Linked DNA regions of Mus musculus. The protein of the gene in region 3 interacts with the protein of the main gene of each other region in a pairwise test. Links are inferred from orthologs where the notes say so. Each region holds a gene or a part of one and is shown on either strand. Other genes may lie near its edges.

The links. The genes of interacting proteins can lie anywhere in the genome.
Region 1: the proteins of Chaf1a (region 3) and Mbd1 interact in binary tests that used the Homo sapiens proteins (3 or more experiments, as listed by UniProt). The link is inferred for Mus musculus from reciprocal best matches to the Homo sapiens genes CHAF1A and MBD1.
Region 2: the proteins of Chaf1a (region 3) and Rel interact in binary tests that used the Homo sapiens proteins (3 or more experiments, as listed by UniProt). The two-hybrid records come from large-scale screens. The link is inferred for Mus musculus from reciprocal best matches to the Homo sapiens genes CHAF1A and REL.

The regions. Positions count from the first base shown.
Region 1 is NC_000084.6:74,266,706-74,270,974, reverse strand, and holds the start of Mbd1 (methyl-CpG-binding domain protein 1), read right to left. Parts: upstream 2,801-4,269; 5' UTR 2,542-2,800; intron 1,573-2,541; 5' UTR 1,547-1,572; coding exon 1,437-1,546; intron 1-1,436. UniProt on the Homo sapiens protein: Transcriptional repressor that binds CpG islands in promoters where the DNA is methylated at position 5 of cytosine within CpG dinucleotides. Binding is abolished by the presence of 7-mG that is produced by DNA damage by methylmethanesulfonate (MMS).
Region 2 is NC_000077.6:23,768,170-23,772,414, reverse strand, and holds the start of Rel (proto-oncogene c-Rel), read left to right. Parts: upstream 1-1,445; 5' UTR 1,446-1,725; coding exon 1,726-1,735; intron 1,736-4,245. UniProt on the Homo sapiens protein: Proto-oncogene that may play a role in differentiation and lymphopoiesis.
Region 3 is NC_000083.6:56,038,364-56,044,288, forward strand, and holds the start of Chaf1a (chromatin assembly factor 1 subunit A), read left to right. Parts: upstream 1-2,052; 5' UTR 2,053-2,148; coding exon 2,149-2,188; intron 2,189-5,698; coding exon 5,699-5,749; intron 5,750-5,925. UniProt on the Homo sapiens protein: Acts as a component of the histone chaperone complex chromatin assembly factor 1 (CAF-1), which assembles histone octamers onto DNA during replication and repair.

The sequences.
Region 1 (4,269 bases), on a different chromosome or scaffold from region 3:
ACAAACCCTGAATTTTTGAAACAAGGACCACTGTGCCTACAGGAGACACAGGTGGGTTCCAGCAAGCCTGTCACATTTTCAAGCAACTGATCAATTGTCCTCTGTTTTATGAGTCTCTGCTTAAAAACACTGGTTTCGTACAAATGACTCCATGATTGTTAATGACTAAGAGCCAATGGCTTTAGAGGATGTTTTATCTAGGTTTGTCTGCTAATGTTTTGTTGTTTTCCTGAAGACACCTGCTGTACAGAACATATACCGTAAGTACAGTGTTTCTCCACCACATCATCTTCTGAGACACACAGGCCAGCCAGCACCAGCTGAGAGGGTTCCATTTCCCTAATGATGGCTGATACATTTTTGGCTTTCCCTGTAACGATGCTGGTACTGTGCTTTACTGTAAGGCCATTGGTTCACGGCTACCTTAACAACTTCTCTGAAGCTTCATCAAGCACTATAGATGGTAATTTCTTGTTTTTTAACAAAAATCTCAATCATTCGATTTTACCATTGAAGACTTGGGAGCCCGATAGCTCAGAGAGGCAGAGAAAGCACCCAGTTGACCTTCCTCCTCTGCTGACAGCCCAGCAAGCTTTTCCCACTCACACAAAATCCCTTCTTCAAACTGAAAGTCCCTCCCTTCTACTTCCTGTGCATCTCTCTATCCACCCTCATGACTACCTCTTATTCTCTATGATATTTTAATTATCTTATGTTCACTTCCTGTCAACTGGTTGCTTGTTCTGCCTCTTGACCTAAGTTTGAGCCACACCACAGCTACAAACAAGACTTTTTTCCTAGTAGGTCTAATCAGTCTCAGGGGGTTCACAGTGTGACTAAATAGCCTACAACAATTTCTGTTCTTTCCAGAGCAGCCTCACACACATCTCAGCAAGTTTGTTCTTCTTGTTCTGGATGGACCAGTTCTAATTTTTGAACACAGCAACTCAACCAGACAGCACTGCAATTCATGTGTGGAAGAAAAGCTTATCTGACAAGGAGGAAAGAAAATCTTCTCGTGCTCAGAACACTAGAAAATAATTCAGCACTTTATTTGGGAGTCATTTTAAACAACACATTTGCCAACAAAAATATGGCTCTAAAGAGACAGTAGAAAGAATGACCAGTTTACAGAACCAGAGAGAGAGAGAGAGAGAGAGTTCTTGTTTAACTTTGATTCCGAATACACGCACTAGACAATTCAAATTCTTAGCTGTTCCATGTTTGTCTGTGAATAATCACAAATGCACCGTGAATATTGACTTTGACCAAATTAAATCAACTTTATTAGGAATACATGATTAAGAAAACACAAAACTTGTAATAAGGACTATGTGCACAATTTTAACTCCATCCATAGATTTAAACACACCCCTTTGCTCTAATTACTAACAAGGTCCAACGCCACTGAACATTGCCCAGAGCACACCCGTTACCTCTGGTAATAGATGTCTGAGCGTCCAAACGAGGCCCCTGACTTTCGAAAGGACTCTCGGCGTTTCCAGCCAGGGCCCAGGGCTGGGCAGTCCTGCCAGGACTCAGCCATAGATGCTTCAGGGACAGAACAGAAGCCTGCAAGATTGAAAGAAAGTAGAGTATAGGGGAGAGTGGCAAAGTATTTCCAGGCCACAAAAGCAACCTGTTTCTCCCTCTTTGTTCTCCTCCAAACATGCATATCACCCTTCCTCAGTCTGAGAAGACTCGGTCCTCCTATTCTGGGTAAGAGGTCCCTAATTCTCTGGTCCTTGGGACCCTGCTTCAGTGTTCTAAGCACCCATTTAAACTTTCCTTGACCTGAGTTTCCAACGTCTCCCGGTGTTCTAGCTGCATTTATGGATCAGAGCCCCCAACTCCTCCATACACTGGATCAAACATTACCACACATTCTTCCCATTCCTCAGGTTGGAAGCCTCCCTCTTAAGTTCAAGAGTTGGCCCCAGAGCTTATTTTCCCCTCATTATTCAGACCCACAACTCTTCTCCAGTCTCGGTCCCAAGCGTCTCTATTGCTCACCCCTACAGCCGGTGTTAGCTACTCTTTCTCTAACTGTATTACCATTCTCCATTCCTCTTATCATCTTGTGAAACTTCCTTTTCCCTCCACAGTGACCTGGCCTCCCAATTTCCTAGTTTTGTGTTCCAAGACAAGGCCTTCCCTCCCAACCATCGGACATTCTACTTCTTTTTGTCCACCAAGAGTGTCCAGTCCCTCATTATTCTAACTATTTCTCCCGTCTCGAGGCCTTATCTTTGCATGATCAGCTTTGGGACGCCATTTCTATCCTGTTTAACACGAAGACTCAATGACTCTCTGAACGTTCTCTCTCTTCTACTCCTCGCCATCCTAGTCCCAGAATCTAGACACCGCTGTCAATGCCCTGAGCCACATCCCTTCCTCTTCGGTCTTTCTGTCCAGTTACCCCAGTCCCCTCTTTAAACATTCAGAGGAAGTCATTCCTTCTCCGGAGGCGAGGGCCCCCGCTAGCGTTCCGAGCCTCCACAGCCTCCTCCCGAGCTGTCGCCACTCCCACGGCTGTCTCACCAGCTTGACACCAGGCCCGCAGCTTCCTCCGCTCTAGGCCCGTGGACCCATGAGAAGGATCCCACTAGCGCGACCGGCCCGTTCCACTCTTCTTCTCTTCCTCCTCCACCAGTGCCTCTTCCAAAACAGTCGCCTCTGCGGCGGTTGCTTACTCCCGGAACCGGAAACCAAATGCTTGCCTTTGGGGCTCCGACTAGGACCAGCCGCTGTGTGTACAGCCTGGTCACGCGTGCCCTCATTGGGGAGGCTCCGCGCCTGCGCACTGCGGCTTCACAGCGGCGCGCGGATTCCCGGGGATCTTCAGCGCCTGCGCACTGACAACACCCGCAGCCCGCCGGGTCTCGGTTGCCTGTGCGTCTGCGCGCCTCGGTGCACAGGCACCTCCACCTTCCCTGCTGCTCCGCTCCAAAGTCGCTCCGGACACAAGGGGGCGTGAATGGCCTGGCCGGCTCGGCCCACTCCGAATTTCGGTCTCCACAAATAGCAGGAGCACTGAACGACGAGGTTATGCCTGTCCACTTCCTTTTCCAGGAGACATTCCGCCTTTGTTCCTGTGACTGCCTTCTTCAGGATTGGTACCCGCTTCTTTGTGGAATAGGATCGCTGCACCCTGGCCAGGTTCCTTGCTTGGGAACCAAGGAGGAGGTGTGGTGTGCAAATGAAAGACCCCCGAAGGGAGACCCTCACTCAGCCGCGGACCCAAGAAGACACTGAGACCGAACTCAAAATGTAGAGGGCAAGATTTAATAAAGCAACAGCAAGAAAGCACATAGACCAGAGCTCTGGGGTCAAAGCTCATACACCTAGTATGGTGTAGAGGAGAATCGACCTCGAGCCAAATTTTTCACAGGCTTATATAAGAAAAACTCAAGGGGGGAGAGCGGGGCAGGGAAAGTACAAGTTTGCATAACTAAGGGGTTCTGCCAAGGGACAAGGGGTTCTGCCAAGGGAATTCTACGTAACTAAGGGGTCATGTCCTATTATTTGGCAATGTACCCGGTTCATTCTGAGGTTGTTCCAGGAGGCCCTTATCTCAAAAATGTTCTTGGAACAGTCTTTAGTTGGGAGGGTTCGAACTCTAGGATGAGGAGTTCAGGAATGCATTCTGGGGTGAAGAGTTCAGGAGTGTTCTGGGAACAATCTCTAGATGGGAGGGGTCGGGCTCTGGGGTGAGGAAGAGTTCAGTAATTTTTTATCTTTATTCTTCATCCCCCACTCCTTTTAGAAAACAGCTCTAATCTTAGAGCCAGTTTTCAACCTCTTGGAGGACCCGATATTGTTGCCTTAGTACCATAACATGTACTGCATTTATCCTTTCTCTAATAAAAGCTACCAACTTATTAAGGATGCAGGGGCCAAAAGTAAGCAAAAGCATAAGTGTAATTAAAGGTCCTGCTATGGTGGAGAGGAGAGTGGTGAGCCAAGGGGACTTATTAAACCAGCTTTCGAACCATCCTTGTTGGCTTTCTCTTTCTCTTTTACGTATATCTAGGCGTTCTCTAAGTTTGGCCATAGAATCTTTGATTACTCCTGAATGGTCAACATAAAAACAACATTCTTCTTTTAGGGCAGCACAGAGTCCTCCTTCTTTAAGGAATAATAAGTCTAATCCCCTTCTATTTTGTAGCACCACTTCGGACAGGGAAGTTAAAGATTCTTCTAATTTGGTTATAGACTGTTCTATAGTTCTAAGATCAACATCCATAGCTGCACGTAGTTCTTCATAGT
Region 2 (4,245 bases), on a different chromosome or scaffold from region 3:
CCTGCTAATTGTTTTATTTTATTTTATATCTTTGTGACTTGTTTATGATTGTGTTTAACTAAAAACACAACTGCTATTTATACTCTTTGAGAAGACAATTTGGAACTAGCAGATTTTAATTATTTCCTTCACTTTGGGGGAGTTGTATAACAGGATGAATTTTTTATGACAGGATAGTATATATTTTAATTATCCAACCCCCCCCCCCCCACACACACACACACACTTTGGCGTTCTTTGAAGCGCATGTAGAGGTAAGAGGACAACTTTTGGAAGTTGATTCTGTCCTTCCATGGATCAAACTCAATTTGTCAGGCTTGGTAGCAAGCGCAATTATTCTCTAAGCTATCTTGTTGGCCATGCAAGATGATATTCTCTATTTCCCCTCCATTACTTGTTTTAGTCAGTAAATGACTGGAGAACGTAAGAGGTGGAGCCAGATAACCCTGAGTTATTTCTGTTGTTGAGACAGTCCACCTACCTCAGCCTCCCGCGTGCTGGGAGTGCAGTGCGCTAAACGGGGCTGGATAATCTTAAGCTTAAATCGTGCAATTCCTTTCTAGAACTCTAAAGTATGGACAAGCTACTCAGCTTCTCCAAACCCCAATCAACCCTAATACTCGTGTATACAATGACATGCTAATACATCATAGACTAAGAGAACAGGTGCGTATTAGCAACTGAAGGCAAACAAGATTCCGCCTGACCTGTCAAAGCACCAAAGTTCGGTCCAGGCCTCAGGCCGTGGGTATCTCGGCCAATCTCTGGACGTCGTGTACATTTATACAGAATGGGGTTAGCGGCCTCGCAGTGCAGCTGAAAAACTTTGGTAGGTAAAAGACGTAATGTAGATATAGAGGGAAAATAAGGCTGCGGGGGTCCCCGTATGCAAATCTGCGCCTTACTGCCGAACGCGGGCGCTGGCGCTTCCGCACTTCCCCTCCAGAGCACCCGGACAACTCTCTGGCGCGGGGGCGGAGATTTGCATGTGCGAAATCGGGAAGAGGGGGAACCACCGGTCGAAAACCCCGGGCGGGCCTCGGGCGGCCAAGGAGCGCGCCCGGTGCACCGCCCGGCCCGCCTCCGGCCGCTCGGCCAGCATGACGTCACGAACACGCCCCTCGGCTTTAAGCGGCGCTCTCAAGGACTCTGGAGGAGGGGGATTTCTCAGGGACCGACGGCTTCTCACGCGCGGAGTCGTCGCTGCGCGCCCTCACGGAGCTCCCGGCGCGAGCGTGCAGGCTGTGGTGGCTCTGGAGGAAGTAAGCGCACTGGCCCGCGCGGGGTCGCGCGCCCGCCGCGAGGCTCCGCCCCCCGCCCCGGGTAGGCGGTGGCGCGAGTGACGTAAGCAGCGGGAAATCCCCCCCCCTCCCCCCACGTTCCGCCGGGCGGTCCGCCCCGCCCCCTGCCCCTGCCGCGGCATCCTGGCAAGGCGACGCCAGGACACTAGTGACCGGAGCGCGAAGATTCGGGGGTGGGAAGGTGTGAGCCGCAAACCCAGAGGAGCCGGGAAAGAAGAGGAGGCCCGGGGGTGGTCCGAGGACAGGCGTCCCGGCTGCGGAGGCTGCTCAGCCTCCTCACTGGTTGGCTGACTGACGGGCTAGCTGGCTGACTGCCTGCCTGACCGACTGCCTGGCTGACTGACTCACTGACTGACTGACTGGCTGCCTTGCAGCCTCGGGCCGGACGCTGGAAGCTGCAGCGAGCGGCGCGCGGAGCCGAGCCATGGCCTCGAGTGAGTACCGGGGCGAGCACTCGCGGGTCACGGGGAGGAGCTGTCGGGGGCTCCGTTTGGGGTTAGGACGGTCTGCCTTTCAAGTCTTCTCATCTGGCAAATTGTCAGCCGTTTGAAAAGTTGCCCGCTCCGGGGTTTGCGTGTGAAATCAAAGCGGCGCACTGTAATCTGATCTTCTCCTAATAGCCAGAACCTTCGAAATTCCCAACGGTGTGCTTTTAGGATCACAGGGGGTAATCTCAGTAAAGGAGAGCAGAGAAGCCTCGCGTTTAAAGACTCAGTGGTATGGAGACCCAGTTTTACATTTTTGAACAAAAAAGAGGAACCTCCGGACCTCAGACGAGCTTTCTTTTTTTAAGTCCAATCGTGCTAGCGGCTGACACTGGTACAGAATGTGGCGTGGCTGTGAAAGTCCTCAGTGGCGTTTTAATTCGTTCCAAGCGAAAACACTACCCCCGCCCCCACGAGCTAAAGATGTTGCTTGTCTAATTTACCGTGTAGAGACCTCGATCCCTTCAACCCCCAACCCCAAACCTGCACGCGCGTTTTGTTAGCAGCAAGAGGACGAGATTTGATTATACTTTAAAGTAACTGGTAGGGTTGAAAATGTCATCGTTTAATGTCAGTGTTTTATCTGCCACTAGTAAGTTTTGGATCATCTGCTTTGAGGGGGACATTTATAAGAAACAGTTTACAGGACAGGGGAGTTTAGTATGACAGTCGTACTATATGTAAAGCAAGCACTTGAAGCAGCTGAGATGGTGGTGGGAGCTAAAAATGACACCTTCTGTCTGTAGCAGGACGCTGACCCTTATCTTCCCAGTGACCCTCAGTAGAAGGCAGCCGACGTCTGGCAGAGAAGAGGAAGTAGAAAGCTTAGTGAACTCTTTAAGAGTTGAGCAGAACAATATCATAACTCCTGCTGTAAAGGAAACTGGGGTGTTTCACATGACACTTGATTTCAGTTTGTCTGTGGTTTTCATGAGAAAACAAGTGTAGTTTAAAATATTTCAACTTTCTCTTTACCCATTTAAATGAAGCCAGGCTTTCAGATGCTCTAGTAAATTTGTAAATTTAACTCATGTTCTGATTAGAAGCACAAAAAGGCTTTAAGTATTTAATTCATTGGTAATCAGAAAGAGATTTTTGTATGACATTTGTAAAGAGTGGCAAGCTTTGTTAAAACAGTTCTGTCCTTGTCTACCTAATAGAATCTTATTATATAGTGTATGAATGCAATACTTGAATTTTTTTCAACAGAAAAGTCATTTATTAAAGAACTGTAAGACAGATATGATTTTAAAATGTAATACAATTGCAATTTGCCTAAGGACATATATTTTGTGCTGTTATAGAAATGATTCCAAAAGTTAAAGTGGGGAACTTTTTAAAAGAAATGGCAAGTTTTAAGGATTTAGAAGTTGGGTTGGGCTTGCCCAGCTTCTGTGAAGCCCTGGGTTCAGTTCTCAGTACTGTCAGAGAAAAAAAAAAAATCCCAACAAACATAGAAAACAAATCTGCAAGTTGTAGTATCATTATCTTCTTGCTTTTTGATCTTTTATCAAGGGTTGCACTAAATGAGACTACTTAAAATACACCATGTCATTTAAATTGTAATTCTGCTATTTGAAGTTTCTAGGCAAAAATATAGTTTAAAGGAGTCTGGGTACCTTATATCAGTTATAAAGACCAAATAGAGAAAAATTATGAAATAAATTTAAAATTCCCATTCCCTTTGAAATACTAATTTAAAAGCAACAAAACTGTTTAACTTATGATTATGTAATTTAGATCCTTTTTTTTGCAATATAGTACTGAAACCTAGGAAAGTATTCATATTGATTACCAAGCATTGAGATCATTTGTTCATTCCTCTCCGATGTCATATGTAAATAGGTATGTGTAATTGAATAGGTGGTGCTTATAAATGTAAAGTGTCGTAGATAATAATCTCCTGGGCAGAATTATATAAATGTTGTGAAAAGACAGGATTTTATATGATGATACTAATTATTGTTCAGGTAAATTAGCAAGTTAAGACTTCCTAGCTAGCCATTAAGCTGTTTTTCATTGCCTTTTAAACAATACTGTGCTTTGTTCTAGCTTTTTGATAAGATTAATTATAGCAGGCAACATGGAAAAAAATGTTCCTGATCAAAGATCTGCATATTTAAGCAGTCATTATTCAAACAATTGTATTCTATTTAAGTTAGCTGTCTTGTGTCCATATCTAAAAATTTTCACTATTTCCTAAAAAGAACAAAGTGGAGGGAGGTGCACAGTTGCCTTGTAAGATACATACTATTTTACTAATGATTAAGATTGTCTTTGGTGAAATGTACTTTAAAATTTAGAAAGTTTGTATTTAGTCACATTTTTTTTCTTTAACATGATTCTGCTGTGTCACATAACAGGAAGTATAGGAAGGAATTATTTTTGTGGACCTTACTACTCACCAACTTTTTGTATGAATTTCAAGATAACCTTTCCCCCCCCCCAATAAAAGTGAA
Region 3 (5,925 bases):
AGTTTGCGGCCAGTCTGGACTACATAACCAGTTACAGACCAGGCAAGCATGACCTGGAGATTAATAATGAATGGAGGTAATGAGTAAATAAATCCTAAAGCAGACACAGGAAAATGGCTAGGGTTGAAATTGGTGAAAAGTTGGGGTGGTTTCATGAACCCAGAGATTACTGGAAGGTTCCAAATGACTCAAAGGGTTGTACTGCAGTAGATCAAAAAATATGTATGTGCCATCTTTACTGCTCCTGAATCCAGGAGTCTTTATAAAAAGTTTGGAGTATGAGTAGTTTCTGTTTCTTTTGTTTTTTTGAGACAGGGTAACATAAACCGGCCTCTCCTCTCTTAGTGCTGCAATAACAGGCCTGGGACACCATGTCTCCTTTCCGAAACAGAACTGGATGCCAGCCAGGGTTTCCTGGCACGCCCACCGCCCACCAGCAACTCACAAGACTCCCTCAAGGGTGCTCTTTATTTTATATGTTTTGAGATGGTGGAGGCTGGCTTCAAACTTGGTACTTAGCTCACCGTGGCCTTTAACTCCTAATCTTTCTGCCTTCACCTCCCAAATACAGGGCTGACAGGTCCTTGACAGCAGGATTGGCTCCACGAGACCCACACAATTCAATCAAATTATATTCTTCAGCAAGTCAGAGATTTGATGAGGTCCGTGACACTAGAGCACTCCTTACCTTCACTGAGCCCATGGCCCAAAAGCAATTCATACAACTAATTCATTAGCTAAATAACCCACTTACTAGCCACAGCTTCAAGAAAACTGTTGCAGGCATTCGAGCTGTTTGCAGATAAAGAAAGGTTTCTTCCTCCACCTAACAACAGCAGCAACAACAACAAGAAAAGATTTAGAAACTAGTGATTGGGTTCCAGATCAGCAAGGCTACATAGTGAGATTCTGTCTTAAAATTAAAAACAAAAACAAAAGACAGAGGCAATTATTCTTTTGTTGTTGTTGTTGTTTTTGAGACAGGGTTTCTCTGTATAGCCCAGGCTGTCCTGGAACTCACTCTGCAGACCAGGCTGGCCTCAAACTCAGAAATCCACCTGCCTCTGCCTCCAGAGTGCTGGGATTAAAGGCCGGCTGAAAAACATTTTTTTATACATCGTATCACTGGCTGTCTTGGATCTTGCTATGTAGATCAGGTTGTCCTCGAACTCAGAGATCCACCTGCTTGTAAATCCCAAGTACTAGGATTAAAAGCATGAAGCACCAGACTCAATTTTTTTCATTTAATATTCTTCAAAGTAATTTACACGAAAAGAAGGAATATATGGTTGAAAAGATTTATAATTTTACAATAGAAAAACATTCCTAATTTTAAAATAAAGCAAATTGTTAATTTATTAAAAAGTGGTTCATCATTTCAAAAATGAAATGCCCAGCTGTAACATTTTTAGAAAGAGTTTATATCCGGGCAATGGTGGCACACGCCTTTAATCCCAGCACTTGGGAGACAGAGGTAGGCAGATTTCTGAGTTCAAGGCCAGCCTGGTCTACAGAGTGAGTTCCAGGACAGCCAGGGCTACAAAGAGAAACCCTGTCTCGAAAAAAAATTATAGTTAAAAGAGAAATTAATGCAAGAAATAAAATTAAAGGAAGTAATTCTCTAATTACAATGGCTACTTTCAACCCGTCACTATTATACCTTAATTCCCATTACTCTTCCAATGGGTAATTTCAAGTTGTCACTACTAATCTAAACGTACCCTTCCCACCTCCTGGAACGCATATAGCCAATAAAAGGGGTGTGGGGGGTGTGCAAACGCTGATATTTTAGATTGACATTTCTTAGGATCAATAGAAATGCAGATCTTCCCAGCAGCTCCTGAACCGCCGGAAAGGAGCCTTCATCCGCCTCCCGCGGGATTTTCTAGCACATAAACCGAAGTTCTCGCGAGGACGTACTGAGTGCACCTCTTTTTCCGGAGGCTGAGGTGTCACGTGACGCAAGCTCCTCCAATCGGCGCGCGGGCCGCGGTGGTTGCCGCGGTTCCCGCCAAATACGAGCGCGGCGGCCGCGGCGGCAGCAGAAGTGACACCGGTGGGAGGCGGAGTGTGCAGCCTGGCCGCCCGACTGAAGCCTGAGCCGCCGCCGCCGCCGCCGCCGCCGCCGCCGCCGCCGCCGTCGCGGAGATGTTGGAGGAGCCGGAGGCCGCGACGCGGACAGCCGCGGGTGGGTGAAACTGCCTAAAGGAGCGGATCCAAGCCTAAGTGGCCTCGGGGCGGAGACCAGGAGAAGGGAGGGCTCTTAGGAAACTGAGGCCTCGGGGAGGGGGAAGAGTCAGCTTCGCAAGCTCCCGAAGGCATCTTGTGTCGCCTAAATAGCTGGAGTAAATGGGGAAACCGAGGCCCCGAGTTGGATTTGATGGATCCTGAGTGCTTGTGTCCTCTTGAAATCAATTGGATCTTGTAGCAGCAAGTGGAGAAACTGAGGGCAAGGAGAAGAAAAGTCAGTCGTACAAGTTATTAAGTGCGTTTGTGAATTCCAGAGCAGTTCGGACCTTTGCAATGGGCGGGGAAATTGAGGCCCGTGCTCACTTGAGCTCTGGACACCAGAGTAGCAGCAACTCTGCGGGGCAGGGCTAGTCCAGGAAGGTCGGTTTGGGTGGTTAAAGCATAGCCAGGAACCCTTTCTGGGTCCCGAAAAGGGGCCCTTTGTGAGTGTGGTATGGACCAGTCGGGTACGTGTTAGGAGTCTTTGTAGCATGCGGTAGGCTTCCCGAAATGTGGGGTGCCTATTCCCCGCTAAATTGTATCCCCAGTGTGTGTTGAACGATTGAGGGGCTGGAAAAGACGAGGTCGGTCCTGATAGACTAAGATTTCTCCAATTGAGCACCACTGACTAGACAGCCCTTCTGGGTACATTACACTAGTCTGCAAGCTCGGAGATGAGGGGAATTGGGGATGGCCAATTTCAGGATGGAGAGCCGCATCCTCAATCTCCATCCACTTCTGGGATAACTCTGGCCCCTTTTACAGTTCTGATCATCAAAGATACACACACACACACACACACACACACACACACACACACACACACACACCCTTCACAGCCTGGTATTCCAGGAAGGCTGGAGCTGTTGTTCTGACTGGCTTGAGAATTTTATGTGGGCATTAATAGTCGTACAATTCCTGGACTCTCATGGAGCATTGTTTTTATTTAACCAAGGTGGAACGTTTAAAACCGACACTATTGCTCTGGCAATAAAGACCAGTTTGGTGTAGCAGTTCATACCTGCAGTTCAGCATCCTAGAAGCTGAGGCAGGAGGATGATGAATTTCAGGTTGATCTGGCCTCTGACCACCTGAATTGTATCCTGGGAAGAAGAGAATCAATTCCACAAGCCTGTATCCAATAAATTAATTAAAGTGGAATAAAACTTTTAAAGAAAAAAGTGTCCTTCGGGGGGGGGTGGCTTTTTTTTTTAAAATAGAAAATTGAGGTGATGTTACCTTCCATTCAAATGAGAAGAAGGGAGAGTGTTCTGGGGGTCCGAGTCTCTAAGTTGGTGTGCCTGGGCTGTTTCTACTCTGGATAGCTGAGGTTGTAGGAAAGCTTAAGTCTGAATTGCATGCAACATTAGCAAAATGTATGGGAATTCACCCCAAATTACTGATGGAGTTTCTATGCACCCAAGGCATTTACCTATGGCAGGTTCTCATCTGGGTGTGGTGGCACACACCTTTAATCCCAGCAGCACTCAGAGGCAGATGCAAGTGGATCTCTGAGTTTGAGGCCGGCCTGATCTACATAGCAAGTTCAAGACAATCAAGACTATGTAGAGAGTCTCAAAACAAACAAAAAGACAGGCTCTATTTATGGTCTAATATACATGGGTTTTAATGTGCTTACTTATTCTTGCGACTTTAAATTCATTTTAGTGGGAGATAATCTCTTTCATGAGGTCTTTAATTTGTTTCTTTTTTGTAGTTATTAGTTTTAGACCAGGTCCCCATGTAGCCCAGGCAAGCCTCTAACTCCAAGTGTTAACATGCCCTAGTTTATGCAAGGCTAGGATGGAACTTAGACACTCCTACATGTTAGGTCAGCATGCTACCCATTGAGCCCAACCCCAGGTTCTTTATTGTGTCTTGACATGAGTACAGATTCTGCAACGAAATTTATTCATTTCATCTATTTAAGAGTAGGATACCTTCACTTAAAAAAATTGGTTTTGTTTACTTAAAGATTTATTTCTTGTTATGTGTCTGTGTATGTCTATGCACATGAGCTAGGTGCCCATGGAAGCCAGAGAGGGCACTGGATCCCTTGGTGCTAGACTTTCGGTGGTTGGTTATGAACTGTTGGATCTGGGATCAGAACAGCAAGTGCTTTTAGTTTCTGATCCATTTGTCCAGTCACACTCACTGTGTCTGTGTGAATCAGTTCTTCCCTTCCCCCATGTGGGTCCTGAGGATTGAGCTTTAGAGTCAGGAGGCTTGGAAAGTCCCCCTCCCTACTCACTGAACCATCTTGTCAGCCCTCACTTGACTTTTGGGACATTTTTGGACAGTTGAGCCTTAACTGACCTAGAAGAAGGGCCATAATGCAAGTTTCTGAGTGAGGGACTCAGGAGGGACTGAGTCTAGGGTAGTGTTGCTCAGTGTTGACATTTTGAGCCAAATAATTTTTTGTTGTGGGACTGACTTGTTCATTGTAGATTGTTTATAGGGAGTGCCTGTATAGTAACTGAAAGTGAGTAGCATCCCCAAACCTTCCCCAGCCATGAAGACTGCCTCTGGGGGCTCAGAATGGGGCATAAGGGTCAGGGTACTTGCTGTTAAGTCTGACCACTTGGGCTCTGCCATTAGAACCTACAAGTAGACCAACAGGACTGACTCCTGCAAGTTGATATGTTCTGTGACACTCCATGTGGCAATGTGGACTGGCAGGTGCACACACAGCAAATATAAAAACATAAAACTGCTGGGGCTGGAGAGATGGCTCAGCAGTTAAGAACACTGACTGCTATTCTAGAGGTCCTGAGTTTACTTCCCAGCAACCACATGGCAGCTCACAACCATCTGTAATGGGATCTAATGCTCTCTTCTGGTGCGTCTGAAGACAGCTACAGTGTACTCATATATATTAAATAAGTTAATTAAAAAAAAAAAGTAAAACTGCAGAGAAGGAGAGAGGCTCAGCGGTTAAGGACACTCATTACTCTTACAGAGGACCAGAGTTCCCATCCAAGCACCTACATCCAGTGCCTCAGAACTGCCTATAGCTCCAGATCCAGGGGAACTGATAGATACCATGCACACAAACACATGTATACACGTAAATAAAAATACACTGTGGCTGGGCATGGTGGTAGGTATGTGTCTTCATTCCCAGCATTTGAGAGGCAGGGGCAAGTAGACCTTTGTAAGTTCCAGGTCATCCCAATTACATACTAAGACCCCCATATACAAACAAACTAAGTAATGATTTTTTTAAGTCTAAAAGCAGGCTGTGATACTTTGTGCCTGGGATGTTAGCATTTGGGAGGCAGAGTCAGGATTGCCATGAGTTTTTCTAGGTCAGCCTGTGCTGCATAGTTCAACCCTGTCTCAAGCAAAGAGGCGGTTCAAGTGGACCAGACAGCGCCGCAGGAGCCTGCTTGTGTTTGGCTGTTGTAGACTTTAGCTGGCCAATGACCCTTACCCTTAGTAACTTCTGCTTTTCTGTCTTTACCTACAGCCGTGGATTGCAAAGACAGACCCGGGTTCCCAGTGAAGAGGTTAATACAAGGTAACTTAAGTTCTAAACCTGGTTCCTAAGTTGTTTCCATTGGCTTCTGTGGGGTCCTTAGTGGCCTGTGAGGGGCTGAGTGGAGGGCAGTAGTTTCTCCCTTCAGGCTGGATAGTCTCTCTCTCAAGTATCGGCCACTAAGCATTGGAGGTCTCTGGTGTTTGTTATATCTTGTC